Linked DNA regions of Arabidopsis thaliana. The protein of the gene in region 4 interacts with the protein of the main gene of each other region in a pairwise test. Each region holds a gene or a part of one and is shown on either strand. Other genes may lie near its edges.

Region 1 (4,985 bases), on a different chromosome or scaffold from region 4:
ATTATCTTGTTGGAGTTCCATTAGGATTGTTACTTGGTTTCCATTTCCACATTGGTGGTCGGGTAATAATCTTAAACTCTCCTTCTCATTCTCAAGTTCAAACACAAGACTAGTTTTATAGAAACTTTTATTTTGTGGTATTTTCATATTGTAGGGGCTTTGGCTGGGAATCGTAACAGCATTGTCTGTTCAAGTGTTGTGTCTTTCCTTAGTCACTATATTCACAAACTGGGATAAAGAGGTAAAACCTTTTAACTGATCGGCTCAGTTTTATATGTATAATAACTCTGCCATAATGTGATTCTGTTTCTTGTTTTACATGATTAGGCAAAGAAAGCTACGAACAGAGTCGGATCTTCAGATGACAAAGATGGTGACGTCCAATGATCAATAAACGTCTGAGGAAAAAGCAGTTGCAAATGAGCTTAATGAGTGCTTTATTCTTGTATGCCCATATGAACTTATTGGGAATTTCTAATTGATGTGGCCGTACATTGGTCTTTAGAAAACTTTACCATTGTTACATAGTTATTGAAATTCCTTGGATGTGTTTCCATTCTCATCGAGCATTAGTGTAATGAGATCAAAAATTCATATATGTAATACACCAACGTGTTCGATACTAAAAATTCTGGACTTTAAATTGGAAATGAACGAAGAATGAGTTTGGGATCAGAGCTCTCTTCTAAACATAGGCCAAAAACAGAGATTTTTCTATGAAGGGTGTACATGATGATTAGTTAATCATCTGTGCTTTATATTCTTTATTTTAGACAGAAAGAATGATTCAAACTATTCGTCATCACTAGTTGTGATATGAAAAATTTCAGGAATTACTGAACGGAACCAACCAGTAAGAGAGATCCTATAGGCTATAGGAACCTGAAGAACGACGTCAAGAAGAAGCCTGTTACGCGATATCCTATAGGAACTCGAGATCAAGTTTCCTCTTCAGATGAGATCTATCTGCACTGCAAATCCAAAAATCAAGAATTCATCAAAAGTTTTCATTTTTTAAGCTGACCAAGAACTGACTGTAATAAAACCAATTGTTTTTACCTGGTGATGGTTGGTCGGTTTGGTGGCCGCTCAGCTAAGATGGTGAAATCTAAAGACATTGGTGCTTGTCCATCATGGCTAGCTTGTCTCATGACATCAACACTCTGGTCCTTGAAACCATTACCAGACTTTCCTCGGTCAGGCATCACTCTTCTAAACTTATGTGCTGGTGACAGCACTTTAATGGCTTCAAGTTTACTATCAGATGACTTAGCATCTTGCTTGGAAACTGGTCTTGGGAGCTTTAAAGGGTCAGTAGGTGAAGGTGCAGATGTGAAGTACCTTTAAAAAGAAATCAAGGTTTGAGAACAAAACTAAATAACCTGTTCTTATGCATTATCCATAGGGGAGATTTTTAGGTACCTGTGTTTTAGAGCCTGCTGAATCGATATTCTAGACTTGGGGTCATAGGTGAACATCTTTGACAACAAATCTAAAGCATCCTCACTAACCGTTGGGAGTAAAGAACGTAAAGAAGGAGCAGGGACAAATTGATACTCTACATAATCAGGAAGGCAGATCATGTCAGGCCACTGATCTGCTTTTGGAGTCCCAAAGGCAGCAAAGATTTTGCTTAATTGATCAATATCACTGTTTCCCTGCAATGGAATAAGTAAGTTAGATAAACAAGTAGACAGATGCACTGGATTACTACACAATCAAAATGGAGGTTCACCTGAAGAAATGGTCTGCGTAATAGAAGTTCAGCAAAAATGCAGCCAGCAGCCCAAACATCAACTGCACCATCATATTGTTTTGCACCAAACAAAAGTTCAGGTGCTCTATACCATCTAGCAAACACCTATGAAAATTGCTAAAGGACATCAAGATACGAAAGATAGCAGAACTACTACATAAATAGCATTGTCACAACAAACAAAGCATACCTGGTGGGTAAACTTACGACCTGGGCTACCAAATATACGTGCTAACCCAAAATCTGCAAGTTTCAGCTGTCCATTGGGTCCTATCAACAAGTTGTTTGGCTTCATATCTCTGAAACAAATACGAATGATCATCCATAAGTTTAAATCAAAACAGACCTTATTAGAGATAGAACAAGTTCTGCTTCTAAGTTCCAATGATAGTACCTGTGCAGAACCCATTTGCCATGGCAATATTCAAGACCTTTCAATATCATTTGGAGGTAAGATTTGACATCACCAGGCGAAAGATAGAGATTACGATCTCGGATAACTGCTTCGAGATCAGTCTCCATGAACTCAAACACGATGTGCAAATTCTCCTTGTGAGGAAACGCATCAATCAACTCAATTATATGTGGATGCTTAAGCTCTTTAAGTAATTTGATTTCTCTAAGAGCTGTTACATTCACACCTTCTTTCTCTTTACCAAGTCTTATTTTCTTGATCGCTACAGTTTCTCCATTCTACAAATTGCCACAACAAAACAAATCAGCTTCCTTATACAAACTTAAACAAAAACTACACACTTTAAATCCATTAAGAACATAAAAATGCAAACTTTGACTTCTAAGAACACATATTAGTGTAAAGATCGAAACTTTAGCTGATTTAAAACCTAAGAGCTATCAGATTTAACCAAATTGTTCCCAGGAAGAGACACGTCAAAAGACACACGACAGAATTGGAACCCTAGTTTCGATGGGATCGACAAAAAATATGAAGAATTGAGAGAGGAATCATCTTCACCTTTGTATCAGTAGCTTTGAAGACGACTCCATAAGTACCTTGACCAAGAACCTCTCGCTTTAGATACCTATCAGCAACTTTCTTCGGCTGTTCCATCTCCGGAACTCTCTAATCGGATCACAAGCAATTGATCGAAACTGATCTTAATTAATTTGTTATCGTTAACGTTGAGGTATCTTATGATGCTCTGGAGAAAAAGTAGCCGTTAGAGCAATTACAGAAGGAATCGACATTTTTAGGGGAAAATATTGAAAAGTAAACGAAAAAGGAAAGAGACGCTCTAAAGCTAGAAATAAAACGAAGCTGGAAGCGTCTATCGTAACGACGTCGTTTAAAGGTTTATAAATGAAAAGCAAAATTGTTCCGGTTTACTCAACATTGACTCGTCAATTATTCTTCGGTTTAAAATGTTATAAGTTAGTGGTTAAACAAAAGATGATTGTGAATATTAACATTTTTTTAGCTGTATGAATATTGGAACATTGCCTAAACATACTTAGAAATTAAAAAAAAAATCCAAGAAAATAAAAAGCTGCATCAACAAGTTGCCAAATTAACCTTGCTCATATTTTCCGCAGCATGGACCAGGAGAACACTACCGGATTAACTTCCGTTTCATGAAGCGTGGAATCAAGCCCAAATATAAGGCCCAAATAACTATTCCGAGAAGGTTAGACAAGCAACTGTTAACTTCTGGGCCCATATAATGGGCTCATAAGAAAGAGATGCAGCCCAATCATTAAAGTTTGCACAAATAATTAGGCTGATCAGTCCACTTTTTTTTAGGTGACCAAAGAAAACAAAGTAAGCCTAACATTTGAGTATGAACCAGAAAAATTTAGGATACTTCAGGGTCAAGTATTTTGCTAGTGAACATTTTTCATCATACAAATTTTTATTTAAACAACTCAAAAAAAAACTTACACGATGGATAAAAAAACACACTTAAAAATAAGCCATTGAATTGTGAAAGAGACGAGACTCGTGAGGGTAATAAGACAAGTTCGTTGTAATAAATCTAGCAATAGATTCTGCTCAGACAGAGAAATAATTACCTGCTTTCGTGCCCACATCATCAGACTTATAATCCTGACCGTACATCAACCTATTTCACTATTTCGTGTTGAAATTTCTAGTTGTTAGGGCTAACAAATGATTTAGAATTAGGTCACCAAACGGAAACACTTGTACATTATTTTCTAAAAGAAATAAAGAATGGTCGGCCAAATTCATTTTCAAAGTTACATCTTAAAAATGTAGTGGACTAGTAGTTGGCAGGAACGATAATAATTGTTATTTTTATTATCTTTACCCAAAAAAAAAAAGAGTGAAGCACAAAAGCCGAGAAGGACGCATGTGACGCGTAGGGAATCTAACACAAACAATGTCAGACCCTTCCCATGTCTTTTCAGATGCACCCACCTGTTCCTTTTTTTCTTTTCTTTTTATTCTTCTATCACGAATATCTAAACCACTATAATTACGACTCTCTATCTATCATTTCTTCCAAAACATGACGTGGCCTCTTCTCTCTCTCTCTTTCCTTCTCTCTAAGTATGTTTAGGGTTAATAATTAGGGTTCCTCCTCTCTTTTGTTCTGTCTTTATATCTCCTTCATAGCTCTAATGTAAGAGATTTACCTCTTTTGGTGTTTTTGTTAATCCACGTTCTCATCAAAACTTTCTCATTGTTTTATGAAGAGTTAAAGGTCTTTACAGTTTGCTTATGTCAGATCCATAATATATTTGACAAGATACTTTGTTTTTCGATAGATCTTGATCTGACGATGGAAGTAGAGCTCCTTAAAGTTCAAACATGAGTTGAGCAGGGTAAAGAAAAGCTGCTAAGCTATGGATCCCATAAGCCCTAATCCTTGTAAAGTAAAAAAGGATTTGGTTATATGGATTGCATATCTCAGGAGCTTTAACTTGCCCTTTAATGGCTTTTACTCTTCTTTGGATTGAAGGGAGCTCTACATCTTCTTTCACCTTCTCTATTTTTTATTTTTCTTTATTTCTACTCAACAATTATTTATTCGGATTCATCTTTAATTTTCCGTTATAATTTCTTTTTGGTAAGGATTATTCGCTATAATTTGAGAATTATATGGTTATTATTTTGATTCCGAAGCAATGTTTAGCGTGTTATTTGTTTTTCTTGTAAAAAACTAGGGTTTATGCAACTGCCTCGGGTAGATGAGAAGATCCTTGGTTCTTTGGAGACTTTTAAATTTTGCAATCTTTGCTGCCATAT
Region 2 (5,017 bases), on a different chromosome or scaffold from region 4:
TGAAGGTAAATACCTACAGTTGTCAAAATCACTTTGTCCTCCATTTCACACTCTCTTTAACTACATAGAAAGAAGCTCAAAAAACAGATGTTTTTCGGTAGCCATGTGAGCAAAATGGCTTGTTAGAACCTTGTGCACACAAGTAAAGAGTGTCAAGGGAAATTAAATGTGAGAAACTAAGAGGCTAAGAACTATGATTTTGTAGGAGGGCTTGCATGTAAGCACGGTAAGTCGCCGTCTTGTGAAGGAAGCTGTGAAAGAACGTCGTTGCAAAGACAACTGCACAGCAATCGTGATAGTCTTCAAGCGGGTATGACTAAAGAAGAGCCTGACTGACATGTGGGCATCTGTTTTTCTGGCTCGTATGTGTTTTATAAACCTGTTGTTGGTATTTGGTAAAATCTTTTTGAGCTGTCAATGGATCAATTAAATTCCTGGGGCCACCATCGAAAGAAAAATGAGTTTGAAGATTAAACAGAGCTCTCTTTGTACCGCAAAGAATTCTAGAAGCAAAAAGTAGAAAGCTTTATAATCATAGACTTCATAGTACAGTATGATCAGTTTACAATGAATAAAAAGCCTATGGGACAACAAAATATTATCATTGTGAATCTAAGGTCCCTCTGGTTTGTAATCAAGCTAAATATGGAAAAGAATAAATCGCCAGATTACACAAGCAGCAGTAAATTGACAACTTAACAATGGTGTGGTTTCACCAGAACATGAAAATGGAGAAGCTAAGAGAAGAGTGCATAACCAACAGTCTTACTGGAACTCAAGATCGAGTTTCCTCTTCAGATGAGATCTATCAGCACTACAAATTGAACAAGAAGAAGTCATTAAAACACAATCAATCTTGAGGCTGTAATGACAAATGAGATTAATATGCAGTGAGGGAGAAACTGTCTTGTTTTTTACCTGGTGATTGTTGGCCTGTTTGGAGGTCGCTCAGCGAGGATGGTAAAATCTAATGACATGGGTGCTTGTTGATCCTTGTCAACATGAGACTTCAAACTATCAACCCTCCCACGCTCAGGCATCACTCTTCTAAGCTTACGTGGTGGTGATTGCACTGTAATGGCCTCATGTTTACCGTAAGATGATTTACCATCCTGCTTAGGAACGGGCTTTGGGAGCTTAGCCGGGTCAGTAGGAGCAGGTGCAGAAGTGAAGTACCTGAAATAATGAAAACAAAGGTGTGAGAGCAGAACGCTAGATATACTTTGCCTATAAACAGATGGTGAACATTAGGCACCTGTGTTCTAGAGCCTGCTTAATGGAAATTCTAGCCTTTGGGTCATAGGTAAACATTTTGGACAACAAGTCGAGAGCATCATCACTAACTGCTGGGAATAAAGAACGTAGAGACGGTGCAGGGACAAATTGATACTCTACATAATCTGGAAGCTTTGTTAAATCCGGCCACTGATCTGCTTTTGGTGTCCCAAAAGCAGCAAATATTTTGCTTAATTGATCAATATCACTGTTTCCCTGCAACGGCAAAAATAGAATAAGTAAACATACCGAGAAAATTGATAATGAATATGTAATTATGTAGTCTGAGAGTGAGTATAACATCCAAAGAGATGACAATTGGACTAAAGTTTTAATGGTAGCCATTAGATTTGAGTAAGATTATTTAACCTGAAGAAATGGTCTGCGTAGTAGAAGTTCGGCGAATATGCAGGCAACGGCCCAAACATCAACTGCAGCACCATATTGTTTTGCACCAAACAAAAGTTCTGGTGCTCTGTACCATCTAGCAAACACCTGTGCATTATCAGATATATCAAGATATGAAGATAATATAACAACTAGAAACAAGAGAAAATAAGTTGCATTGCGCATTTGGAAACAGAGCTCACATGGATTCTATTGTAATTTTGGGTGTTCAAAGGGAAACAAAGAAGGCAGAAATAGCTCAGGTCAAAAATCCGGTTAACAGCAAAACTTTTAGTACAGATATGAGATAGCTACTGCACCATCATTTAATATGAGTTGAGACTGTTTAATACATGTTACATTTAGTATACAACTAGAGAAATGAAAAGACATGAGACATCTAATCTTCCTCATCCCTAGACATAACTACTGATAAGAACTACTTAAAACTTTCTTATCAATATTTCATATGAGTTAGTCGATCAATTTGGTTATATTACAGCAATAGATAAAATGGCAATGCGGCAAAAGGCATACCTGGTGGGTAAACTTACGATTTGGACTACCAAATATACGTGCTAAGCCAAAATCTGCAAGCTTAAGCTGTCCATCAACTCCTATTAACAAGTTATTTGGCTTCATATCCCTGAACTCAAGCCACACATAATCAGTGCCCAAACCAAGCAACATTACAGAGACAATAAGCAAGTTGTTAAGGATAAACAAATGTACCTGTGCAAAACCCATTTATCGTGGCAATAAGCAAGTCCTTTAAATGTCATTAGGAGGTAGGATTTAATGTCGGCGGGTGAGAGGAAAATGTTAGAATCGCGAATAACTGCTTCGAGGTCAGTCTCCATGAACTCAAAGACAAGATGCAAGTTTTCCTTGTGAGGAAATGCATCAATGAGCAGAATAATATGAGGATGCTTTAGCTCTTTGAGCATTTTGATTTCTCTGAGAGCTGTAATATTTACACCTTCTCTTTGTTTACCAAGCCTTATCTTCTTAATTGCTACAGTTTGTTCCGTCTGCAAAATTACACCCCACAATTACTTCCCCTTGATCCAACAAAAACTTCAATCAAAATCCGGAACCAAAAAAGAAGGAGAAATTAGGAATTGCCGACAGATCCTAAACCCTAATTTTGCAAACAAAAATCAGCAAAGATATGACCTTAGTATCAGTGGCTTTGAAGACGACTCCATAGGTACCTTGCCCAAGAACCTCTTGCTTGAGATACCTATCAGCAACTTTCTTTGGCTGCTCCGGCATTTTCGGGTTTTTCAGAACCCACTCAATAATCGCGCCTCTCTCTTTCTTCTTAATTCACGTCGCTAGAATTCGATTGCTTTCCGATTTTTATTCTAAATTGAGTAAAATCGACGATGAGGAAGATACCGGGAAAATTTAGGGTTTCAGCTTTGAGAGCTCCGGCTCCGGAGAAAAAGTAGCCGTTGGCGCGTTTGCAGACGCAATCGGCTAATCGAGGGAAACAACAAATAAAGAGAAACGCCCAATTATTTACTTTTCTAGTTTTTTATACATTTAATATCCAAACATTTTCGATTTATAAAAGAGAAAAATATTATTTAATATCTAAACTTTTAAACAATAGCTAAATTAATCGTGAATTTTTGATTTTTTGAAATGACTGTTTTATACCTCAACAAATTTAACCTATAACCTATAAAGCATATTAGCAATCCACGTGTTTTTGCTAGAGTTTAGCTGATTTCTTAAGAGCTATCGTTGCTGTTTCTCGTCCATATCCCCTTCCTTGATAGTTTCAAGCTCTTTGCCAGTAATCCATTCAGGGAGTATAGCTGCATACTTGCGAGGTGGTGGAGGCGGATACTTCATTGTCGGCTTCTGGTCACTAGCAAAGCCCGGAGGAGGTTTTGGAATCTGAAGCGGTGGTTCCCTTACCCTCACCCTCAATGGAACATCAGGTATCCCATAATCACTAAGTTTGATCTCAGGTCCCTCATGTAATTCTGCGCACGGTATCCAGCAAGCTTTTTCTGGTAATAAGCATGATAACGATCTGAGCTCCAGAAGAAGGAGTACTTTGGGTTTCCCGCATAGCTTGTCATCATCTTTCTCTCCATCTCAGGCCCCTCCATGAAAACCAAACGGGCTGAGCTATCCGCATAATATCTAGTCCTCGGAGGTACATCTGCCGGAGTTCGATTGCAAATCACTCGACATCTCTTTTCTATACAAAGAGAAACACAAAATAATAGATAAAGTTAACCCTTGATGACAAGAGATGCAAAGAGATCGATTGAATGTGTTGATTATCACTTGACCCTGAGCTCTATATGACTATATTTATACAAGGGGTAAACTACCAAGAAAACGAATTATCTTCCTAAACGTAAATATAAGAAAAGGCAAAGATACATATCCAAGGACTACTTAGGGTTTCGGAGAGAGATAACAAGTACCGTACCTCACCCACCGGAAAGTAACAGCCACGCCGCGAGAGCCACAGTGACGTCGTGAACGAACGAACTCTAGTTCTGAAGCTTGGAAATTGACAATTGCAAATCAACGGAGAATATCCTCTTAGAACAAATCCACGGAGCCCTATGCGTAGCCTAGCACTTATAGACGAGAAACTTGTGCTCCAGGTTTTATAATGGGCCTCTGTTATTCGGGCTTATAACTTCGGGCCATATTTACTTAATTTGAAGTTAAATTCGGTTTTGGGTCGAGATTTTGGGTTTTAGTTGTTTTTTGTTGTGAGAGACGTCGTTTTCCATTTTCACCATACATTATCTACTTAACCGGTAAGAACCAAATCATACATACATGAACTGTTATGTTATAAAACCATTCTGTTTAACATCAGAACATTACGGAAAAACGGTCTATTTCCCCATGGGAACTATCGCATCTGGCTAGATGAAGCCCGATCTTTGACCTCTTGCTATTTACCCATGAAATGAAAGTTAAACGTCTATTTCCCCACCAATTAAAAGTTCAAGAGCTTAATGTCCCCGAATCGTGGTTACTTCGGTTTGATACGTAAACCCGAGACGAAACCATATTATCGGTCAAAACCAAACCAAAAAAACCCGGATTCGTTTTTAAAACCCGATCCATTGTCGAATCCCAAATCCAAAATCTAAAACCCCAAACTCAAAACTCAAGAACCCTAAATCGATTCCCAATTTTTTTATTTCCAGTTGAAAGATGAGCAATCTGTCATCAAGTTCGTCGGGATCTACAGGACCTCGTGGTCGAGGAAGAGTGGTTGGAGTGCCAAAGAGATGTTGGATTATGTCCAGTTCTCAGAGCATAATCTATAACCGCCTCTTTGAACGCAACTCCACTGAAGAAACTCTGC
Region 3 (4,495 bases), on a different chromosome or scaffold from region 4:
CATATTTAAGTGATCCAAGATTTGGACCGGAATATCCTTCATGGGTCAGACCTAGTTTGTTTAACCTTGGTAGCTATGGCGCTACTTATGTATGTTGCCATCCTTTGGTCTCTTCATGCGATTATATGTCACCGGGAAATGGAGTAGAACTGTTTGATGGTAGTGCGGATTGTTACATTTTCGGCTCATGCTCTGGTCTTCTCCTATTGTACATTGGTTGTCTCTTTGTTGCAAATCCCTTAACAAAAAGGTTTCGAATCCTGGATCATTCTGGATCAAAGCTTATACCAATGATAGTTAATGGTGGACTTAAAGGTCTTAGCGGAATTAGTTATCCTGGAGGTAATGTTGCTTGTACGGAACGAGCGATGTGCGTTGGATTTGCGGTAAATCGAAATCTAACAACCAAGAGATTCAAGATCGTGGGCATACTCGAGATGGAAAACGTATACGGATTCGAGATCAACGAAGGAGACTCTTGGAGATTATCGGAAACGAGTATCACCACTAGCTCAAAAAGTGATCTCACTACGCGGATGAAACCTGTTTACTTGGACAACACTCTTCACTGGCTGAGAAACGATGGCAGCATCATGTCTTTTAATCCCGAGACAGAGCAAGCATGCTTGATTCCTTCCATATTTCATCGGGAACCGGATACGAAGCTACTTTTCGCGGAAAGCGTTAAGATCAATCGCCTGACCCTAATTTCGGGGACGATAGAAACAATCTCCGTTTACACACTTGTCGAGAATCACAAATGGACACTCACAAGGCGGATCAAGAACATATCTATCGAGGAAGAAACGCTTGTATATTGGAACATAGCTATGTACGATGGCAAGTGTCTTGTGGTGAGGGTGAAAAAGATGGGTTTAGAACCTTTGGCAAGTGTTCTTCATGTGTACGACATGGAAGCTAACAGTTGGGGAGTTTTGGTGTCAACCCTTGCTTGGCCCAATTGCGTCCGAGATTTCTATAAATTGACGCCCTCCTTGTTCTTTGTAGAGGAGGATGAGCAACAGAAGGTGCTTGTTGCTTCTAATGACCGACGCATCTCCTATATAAATTCGATTATGGGACTCATTGATACCACCAAGTAAACATTTAGGGCCTATAGATTATACAAAAAATGTCCTGATTTATAAGAATGTTTGTTTCCCATTTGCTTTTATCATTGCACTATTATGGTTTATGTATTTCAAATCTAAAAATTAGTTGTATATTACTATTTCTTTTGGGACAAAAAATCATTTAAGACAATGTTGTTTAAGAACTTGTTCTTCTCTGGCTTGTCAATTTTTCGTCCTGCCCAATAAAGGCCCATCTTGTGTGTTTTGTCGAATCTAACAACAAACTCACACCTTTTGACCAAAAAACAAACTCTCCCCTTTTTTTTTTCCTTTCGTGTAGCTAAACCGTCTCCGGATGTTGACAAACATTGGTTATTCACTTTTTCCACGTCACACTTAAAAACAGAACATAAAAAAAAAACTAATGACGACGCTCCAGTTTTGAATTTTGAAAAAAGAAAAAAAGAACCGTTGAAAAAACATGAGTGCTCAAAGAGGGAATATACCTTTTTAATAATCTCCTTCCTATTTAAACCAATTCTCGAATCTAATTACATTTCCTCTCTCTTTCCCCAAATTGAAAACAAAATCTGAGATTCGCGAAGGAAGAAGAAGAGTTGTCTTGAGAGATTGATAGAGATGGACAACAATGGAGTTAAACCCGCTGTTTCCGCCATGGAAGCCTTTGAAAAGCTTGAGAAAGTAGGTGAAGGGACTTATGGGAAAGTTTACAGAGCAAGAGAGAAAGCTACTGGGATGATCGTTGCTTTGAAGAAGACGCGTCTCCATGAGGATGAAGAAGGTGTTCCTCCCACTACTCTTCGCGAGATCTCTATCTTGCGTATGCTCGCTCGTGATCCTCACATCGTTAGGTTCGATTTCCTTTTACATTTCTGATTCGGTTCAGTCACTTTCTGAAATTCTCCGATTTACTGGTTTTGATTGTGGATTTAGGACTCAATTTCGATTTCTAGGGTTTAGTCCCGATTAATTGATGTCTCAATTGATTTGATGACTCTGATTCTTCCTGCAAATCGCGCTTAGTGTCGCTCTTAGGTGTTACTGGTAGATCTTAGTTTCAGTTTGCTATTTGTTGTGTGGTCCGATCGAGATAAAATGGGTTCCTTATCTTATCCGAATACTAGAAAATGTCAAAGTAGAAGCTCTGTGTTGTGATCTCAGTTTCAACTATTTTTGTGGTGATTGCATTTCTACTGAGAGATTATTGTTATGATGATTATCTTCTTCTACAGGTTGATGGATGTTAAGCAAGGAATAAACAAAGAAGGAAAAACTGTACTTTACCTTGTTTTCGAGTATGTTGATACTGATCTCAAGAAATTCATCAGAAGCTTTCGTCAAGCTGGACAGAACATTCCACAAAATACTGTCAAGGTTTGGATATTTGGAGATTTTGTTCTGCTTTTTTTCTCTCATCCGATAAGCCCCTTTAAGCTAAGAGAAACATGTTCTTGAATTGCAGTGCTTGATGTACCAGTTATGCAAAGGCATGGCTTTTTGCCATGGTCATGGAGTGTTGCACAGGTAAAAATCGTCTTTGTTTTGGAAGAACTATGACTTGAGATAACCCATTTTGACACAGATCTCTAATCCTACTTGTCTTGGTTTCATTACAGGGATCTTAAGCCTCACAATCTCTTGATGGACCGGAAGACAATGACGCTCAAAATAGCAGATCTTGGATTAGCCAGAGCCTTCACTCTCCCAATGAAAAAGTATACACATGAGGTATATAAGTCTACGTTGATGAAACATTAGTCCTGTTTCATTCTAGTTTTTTTTTTTTTTTTTAATTCTATCTTAGTTTATCTGGAGTTATAACTCAGGATGATTTTACCCCCATGATTTCATTTGCAACAGATTCTAACTCTATGGTATAGAGCTCCGGAAGTTCTTCTTGGAGCAACCCATTACTCTACTGGAGTGGATATGTGGTCTGTTGGCTGTATTTTTGGTACAAAATCTTCTCTTACAGTTTCACTGGTTTCAGTTCAATGTCACTAGCAAGAACTAACAGTTTTGTTTCCTTTTTGATGTGTAGCTGAACTAGTGACCAAGCAAGCAATCTTTGCGGGAGACTCTGAGCTCCAACAGCTCCTCCGTATATTCAGGTAAGTCTTTGTGTTCATCTTTACCTTTAAGACACAAACATGACATTCGCTAACTTGGTTGTTCTGTTTCTTTCTTTCCTGTCAAACTCAGGTTGTTGGGAACACCAAACGAAGAAGTTTGGCCTGGAGTAAGCAAACTCAAGGACTGGCATGAATACCCGCAATGGAAACCGTTGAGTCTCTCCACAGCTGTGCCAAACCTCGACGAGGCTGGACTTGATCTCTTATCTGTAAGTCTCTAGTGTCTAACACACCTCTCAGACCTTGCTTGATTAGTAGATAATCACTCTGCTGAGACTAATTTGTGTTTCTCTTTGTGCACAGAAAATGCTGGAGTACGAGCCAGCAAAACGAATCTCAGCAAAGAAAGCTATGGAGCATCCTTACTTCGATGATTTGCCTGACAAGTCCTCTCTCTGAGGCTCTCTTTATAAACTCTCAATAGGATATTTTGTTCTATCTCTGTCTTTGCTTGTCTCAAGCATTTATCTGCTATCTTAGGATGATTGAAGTTTCAATATTCCCTTTTGATTGGGTCTCTATTCCCAATTGTATAACCTTCCAACATTTTTATCAATGAAAGAATATATCAGTTTCTCTAATATTTCAAAGTAGCAAGATTTGCAACTGTTTCCCATTTGTGTAAGTGTGTGTGTGTGGATGTTCAGGCTACGAGCCACATGAAGAATGTTGGCCAGACAGTGAGAGAAACTGAAGCCAAGGCATAACTCCAGAATAGAATCACAGAGCATTCACTTTCTCCTGATCCGAATAGTTGAGTGATTGTACCTGCCAAAAGGTCAAGTGAGTTTATGAGAAAGACAGTGTGATGACATGTTTTGGTAGTATTTTTGTGAGTCTGAAGAACGAACCAAGATTCATCGCTGGGGGAACGACATACTGAAGCAGAAGAACAAACTGGTAAAGCGGTTCGGATGTAACCAAACCCAAGTAATGCGCTCCTCGTACTATGAAAACTCCTAATATTGGCAGCAACAAGTAACGCACAACCACCACACCCATTATGACTGACTTGTTTATTCCTGAACCTCTCAGACCTGTGATTATTATAAGAGAGAGAACAGAGATTTAAGGTTTTGTCTTAGGAAAAAAAGTTTCTGCAGCCATTTGTTATTGTTTATCTACCATTGAGAAGGTTTCCTCCAACAATCAGAGTCAGAACAGGAATCGCCCCGTCCCTTCAAGAAAATTAAGCTACTCAAGTAAGCATTGTTAATTATCACTGACAAGTGAGATTTTTAATATGTTGTAGAATACCCCAATAGAGAT
Region 4 (4,947 bases):
GGATCATCAAATTGCTAGTATGCCATGCGACAATGGTAGACCCAAATGATTAAATTTAATGAATATAGCATTGGCCCATTTTCTTCATAGTTACAGATCCTAGAGGTTTAGTGGACCTGGAGTCCAATCATTTTATTTATTTTTTGTTAAAAAGTTTTCAATAAAATATTGGGATTTTGGAGTTTTGTTGATAAAAGGTATAAAACGCAAAAGCTCCATAAAGCACAACCTAGCTTTGGTCTCTTTACGTCAACTTTAAGTCAAAGACTTCTGTTCGTGGGCCCAATTCTAAGCCCATTAGTGCGATGCGCGCTTTATCTCACAACGGCACCGTTTGAATTAAAAAAGGTCAACTCTAACGCTCAACAGAACCGATACGGTTTTTTCCCGCTATATTTATTTGGCGGGAACCAATTAAAAAAAGCTCTGTTTTTCCTTTGTTTTATTTTCTTTCTCTTTTTTGCTATTTCCTGCCAACAAAAAATTCTTATAATTTTATTTGTTCAGTATTACCAAAGCTATAAACAAATCAAATATTGAAATTAATACACTTTTATTTATTTAAAAATTTTTGCTTTGATTTATTGTCCTCTTTTTTCAACCTCTCATCAGACATCATACTGATTATAATAATGTAAGAAAAAAACAGTTTTTTTTTTAAGAAAGATGTGTATAAGAAGAAGAAGAATCATGGGTCTTAAAGCTGAAACAACAAGCCGATACTTCTAAAACCCCATTGGGTGTTTGTGAACATAAGTCTGAGCCATCACTCTCTATCATTTCCCCTATCTTCTTCACTCTCTCCTGCAATAAAAGGAACCACAAAGTTTAAAGCTTGACACTTTTGTTTTTGTCTCTTGAACACAAACACAAACACAACACACAAAGATCTCTTCAGCTTTTTCTGGTGTAGAAAAACAACTAATGGAAACCAGGCTGATGTTTTGGATTGCAAGATCAAATCAGAATCAAACATGTTTTTGTGGGGGCAGATTGGTTTTAGATGTGACTAGAGGCTGTGCAGTGAATGTGTGTGTGTGACAGAGAGAGTCACAAGACACATAGCTAGAGAATAATATAATTTAAAGTGGTCTTTGGTCTACTCTCCACTAGTTTTGGAAGTCAAAGGATTCAGACCCATTAACCGGTTTCTCTTTTTTTTTTTTTTTTTTTTTTTACTTTTTGGATTTATAATTACACATATTATGTGTATGCAATGAATAAGTTAGTGCACACACATATATACACATAAATGTGTCATCTTTAATGAGTTCAAACTTCTCCACAACTGGCATTTCCTTGAAATTGAACCACCAAAGGCTGCTTTATATGTGTGTGTGTGTTTGGTATTAAAAAACAATAGATTTATGAGTTTGAGATGTTTGGTGGATTGTTTTTTACCTTTTGAAGTAGTGAGAAAAGAGGAGAGAAGGAAGAGTTGTCAAAGTGTACTCTCTGCAATTCTCCAGAAACAGAAAGTGCCACAGCAGCAGCAACTTCAGAAGGTCTAAACTCCAAAAAGTCAATACCTGCTCACTCGACACAACCACCATTTTAATCCAAAATCATAAAAAGCAAAAGTGAAAAAAACAACAAAACCCAAAAAAGCACAAAAACAAAAGTGGTCAAGAAAATAAAACATAAAGGAAAGACTTTTTTTTTCACCTTTGGTTGTGCTGGCTATCACTTGTAATGATCTAGATATCAATGTGTTGGATGGTTCTTGATCACATTTACTCATCTTTCTCAGGAAATATCTTATGTATGAGCATGGAGTTATTGCTCTCAATCTCCATTTCAATTTGTTCAACACCAAAAGCTCCATTCTTTGGACTGATTTAGCCTCAAACACAAACTGAGGATCTCCAACCTGTTCCGAAATGTGATCAAACCGCAATCGATTCAAGACATTGTCGGGTCGAATAGAACATCTCGACAATTTAACGAGTTTAGAGGAGAACCTGAAGATCTATCAACATTGGAACTTCAGTTTCTTCAATTTTGGCTGCCAATGATAAACAAGCCACAGCCAACAACTGCAATATCCAACCTTTGCCACTCTACAAGAAGAATCACAAATCAAGAAGCGAAAAAATGAGACTTTTTGATGATGAATGGCTAAAAACATTATCAATCTTTTAGTTTAACCAATGTGAACTTACAGGCAAATCATGAACCGATAAGAATCGATCCAAGTAGTTCATTGCTAAGCAAAAACACAATGGTCCAAACTGGTGTACTTCACAAGCCTGTTGTAATCAGAACAGAAGAAAAGATCAATTAGAGATCTAAAACTCTGAGACTGAAGTGAATCTATTGTCAATTGAAGTGTGAAAGATCGGAAATTGAGCATCAGATTTACAGATTTAAGACAAAACCTCTCTATCTGTTCTGCATAAGCCTCTGATCTAATAGACATAGCAACACACTCTTTATGTTCAGATCATTCATCAAAAGGATTGTGCTTTTCACAATTTGAGCTTATACAGATCATTCAAAACCAATCAACATCCAAATTTCAAAACCAGAAATCAAAATCAAATAGAGAATCAGACCTTCCAAATCCAATTGAGGGCATCTCTTCTTCCAACATTCAAATCCAAATCTCCACTTCTAAGTCTCTTGATGTAATCATCACTTGGCAAATGCTGCTTCTCCTTCTCCACCATCTCCATGATAATCTCCTCACTCTCCGATTGAGAAAAACCCATCTGAGGAATCGAAATTTCAATCGGAGTTTCGTCAACAATCATGCCCTCATCATCAACGTTGCTCTCTGTACATAAAAGACTCAGTTCTAGATTCTCCTCTGCCATTACAACAGAGTGTTCATGTAAGAAAAATTGATCCTTTGTATTTGGTAATCGATCTAAAAGGAACTGTATCGTTAGATTGTCATCTAGAGATTGGGGAAGTGAAAGAAAGATTGGGTCTTTGATATTTCTGTATGCCCTCGTGGAGGAAGGGGTTTTTGTTTTGGGGTTGAGGGTAAAATTAAAGGGTGAAGCTTTTCTTTTTTTTATTGAGGAAGTTAAGAAATGTGGTTTTTAGGGTAAGATGGAGATTGTGTGAGAAGGAGAGAGGCTATATATAATGGTGAAGAAGATGAAAAATGTAAGATAAAATTTGAAGATTTTAGAAAGTGAATTGACTATCATGGTAACAAATGTGAGAAGTTGGAAAATTATGAAAATGTGGTAGGAAATTGAGGTGAGAATTGAAAAGTTAGTTGGTTTTATTCGTTGTATTTTAGTTTTTAGATGATGAATCGAGTGAATATCGTTGGTAGTTCGGTATCAGATTTGCGCCATAAGTTTTTTGGAATTTGTATTTCGGTCTTGTATGCATAGTTAACAGTTAACATTTTTGTATATTCAATGGTAAAATATTGAATGTTGAAAGATTTAATCATAGTATATGTCTTTACATATTTTTTGATATTTCATAATTTTATTCCTTGTTTTAATAACAGTAAAATATATATAGTTTGACTAATAGTTTAAAACAGTATTGAATTCTATAAATCTTAGGAAATATTTTTTAACAAAATTGTTTGACTAAATAATGCAATTTGATATTATGATCGAAATATACGCTGAATCATGATATTTTATTTTCAATATCCGACATTGAACAAAATAAAAATGACCCCAAAAAAACTAATGTAAATTCATGCCACAAATAAAAAGAAGTTTTGAATGTAAAATTTGACTCAAAATCCATCTATAATGATATTTGAACCATTTGCTCTGGTAGATCTTTGACCACTGTTTTTTGATTCTAGGGTCACTTTTAGACACAATAATTTCAATATCTATCATCATTGCATATACCTTTGAATGAAAAAGCAGACTGTATATTTGTATAAGAACTACGTCATATACTCATTTAAGTTCAAAATATGGTCTCTGTTTGTTACACAATATGGTCTTTGTTTTTTACACATTATGGTCTTTCTTTAATATGGTTTTAGTTTACCCAAATATACTGTCTTCTGTTTTACCCAACTTATAAGATTTAACTATAAGGTTTTTAATATTTATAAAAGTATTTATTTTTGTTCTCTTGCAAGTTGAGGTCAATAACTAGTGCTCTATCACCTCCAAAGATTCTACATTAGTATATTTGTAAGGAGATTAGTATTTTTTATTTATAAATAGTAATTAGTAATTTTCTACCACATGAAAATAAAGCTAGCTACGCGACGAGTTGCTTGAAAACACCACACGAGAATTTCTTGCTTGAGGTTACATGGCAAATAGTCATCGAGCCACTGGTTTCAACTTTCAACTACTATATAGTCATGTTATGGAATGAAACATCAAACATTAGCTCATTGTCATTTTAGTTAACAAAGTCGTATTTTGTAGGAAGCAAATGAATTACACAAAATTCATTGCAATAATAAAGAAAATTTTTCCTTGAAAACGATTATCTTACTTTCAAAAATCAAATTTCATTCTATATTATATCTGTTATTCTTACAATTTTCATATTTTCTCGTTTCTTCATTATCAGTCGGAGTCTTAAAAAATTGTAAAGATAAACTCCTGTTCATACAATATATTCTTATCCAACTAAGTTTTAGAAATCACCGATGCGCACCAAAACACACAGCTTTTTGAAATTGTAAAGTAGAAACAAGTCTACAACTATACGACCGCAAAAAACCCTTTAACATAAATTAAAAAAAAAAAAAACTATACGACCGCGAGCATGTTTGATCTTTCGGTTTGTAGAATTTTATAAGATATAAAAGAAATGTATTATATCATTTTACCAAGGTGCTCTTTTATTTTGTTGGTAGTGTAGTAGTAAGTATAGTAATAACGTGATTGTGACAATCACGTGTCAGCTAATAAACTTTGATGTTTTTACTGTCTTTAAATTTGATTATCTTTTCGAGCGGTGAGAAGAAACAAAAGTTTAAGTTAAAGCAAAAAAAAG

Evidence for each region.
Region 1: the proteins of CYCD4;1 (region 4) and CDKD1;1 interact in a protein complementation assay, tested with the Arabidopsis thaliana proteins (one large-scale study listed by BioGRID).
Region 2: the proteins of CYCD4;1 (region 4) and CDKD1;3 interact in a protein complementation assay, tested with the Arabidopsis thaliana proteins (one large-scale study listed by BioGRID).
Region 3: the proteins of CYCD4;1 (region 4) and CDKB2;2 interact in a two-hybrid assay, tested with the Arabidopsis thaliana proteins (one large-scale study listed by BioGRID).

Annotation. Positions count from the first base shown.
Region 1 is NC_003070.9:27,712,956-27,717,940, reverse strand, and holds CDKD1;1 (cyclin-dependent kinase D1;1), read right to left. Parts: upstream 3,032-4,985; 5' UTR 2,829-3,031; coding exon 2,733-2,828; intron 2,450-2,732; coding exon 2,151-2,449; intron 2,056-2,150; coding exon 1,947-2,055; intron 1,862-1,946; coding exon 1,736-1,861; intron 1,659-1,735; coding exon 1,423-1,658; intron 1,342-1,422; coding exon 1,060-1,341; intron 972-1,059; coding exon 923-971; 3' UTR 521-922; downstream 1-520. Other genes in the region: AT1G73700 (MATE efflux family protein), read left to right, coding at 1-62, 155-241, 328-387.
Region 2 is NC_003070.9:6,206,363-6,211,379, forward strand, and holds CDKD1;3 (cyclin-dependent kinase D1;3), read right to left. Parts: upstream 3,167-5,017; 5' UTR 2,938-3,166; coding exon 2,839-2,937; intron 2,694-2,838; coding exon 2,395-2,693; intron 2,309-2,394; coding exon 2,200-2,308; intron 2,100-2,199; exon of another isoform or gene 1,784-2,099; intron 1,771-1,783; coding exon 1,645-1,770; intron 1,492-1,644; coding exon 1,256-1,491; intron 1,177-1,255; coding exon 919-1,176; intron 815-918; coding exon 766-814; 3' UTR 509-765; downstream 1-508. Other genes in the region: AT1G18030 (Protein phosphatase 2C family protein), read left to right, coding at 1-5, 206-316; AT1G18050 (SWAP/surp RNA-binding domain protein), read right to left, coding at 3,600-3,880, 4,123-4,193, 4,904-5,017.
Region 3 is NC_003070.9:7,291,882-7,296,376, reverse strand, and holds CDKB2;2 (cyclin-dependent kinase B2;2), read left to right. Parts: upstream 1-1,630; 5' UTR 1,631-1,712; coding exon 1,713-1,945; intron 1,946-2,326; coding exon 2,327-2,468; intron 2,469-2,556; coding exon 2,557-2,618; intron 2,619-2,710; coding exon 2,711-2,822; intron 2,823-2,954; coding exon 2,955-3,048; intron 3,049-3,135; coding exon 3,136-3,205; intron 3,206-3,296; coding exon 3,297-3,435; intron 3,436-3,529; coding exon 3,530-3,625; 3' UTR 3,626-3,869; downstream 3,870-4,495. Other genes in the region: AT1G20940 (F-box family protein), read left to right, coding at 1-1,103; AT1G20925 (Auxin efflux carrier family protein), read right to left, coding at 3,870-3,994, 4,078-4,263, 4,352-4,404, 4,484-4,495.
Region 4 is NC_003076.8:26,140,935-26,145,881, forward strand, and holds CYCD4;1 (CYCLIN D4;1), read right to left. Parts: upstream 3,060-4,947; 5' UTR 2,817-3,059; coding exon 2,556-2,816; intron 2,409-2,555; coding exon 2,379-2,408; intron 2,250-2,378; coding exon 2,163-2,249; intron 2,061-2,162; coding exon 1,962-2,060; intron 1,871-1,961; coding exon 1,666-1,870; coding exon of another isoform or gene 1,592-1,665; intron 1,530-1,591; coding exon 1,402-1,529; coding exon of another isoform or gene 1,366-1,401; exon of another isoform or gene 1,179-1,365; coding exon of another isoform or gene 1,176-1,178; exon of another isoform or gene 805-1,175; coding exon 658-804; 3' UTR 536-657; downstream 1-535. UniProt on the Arabidopsis thaliana protein: May activate cell cycle in the root apical meristem (RAM) and promote embryonic root (radicle) protrusion.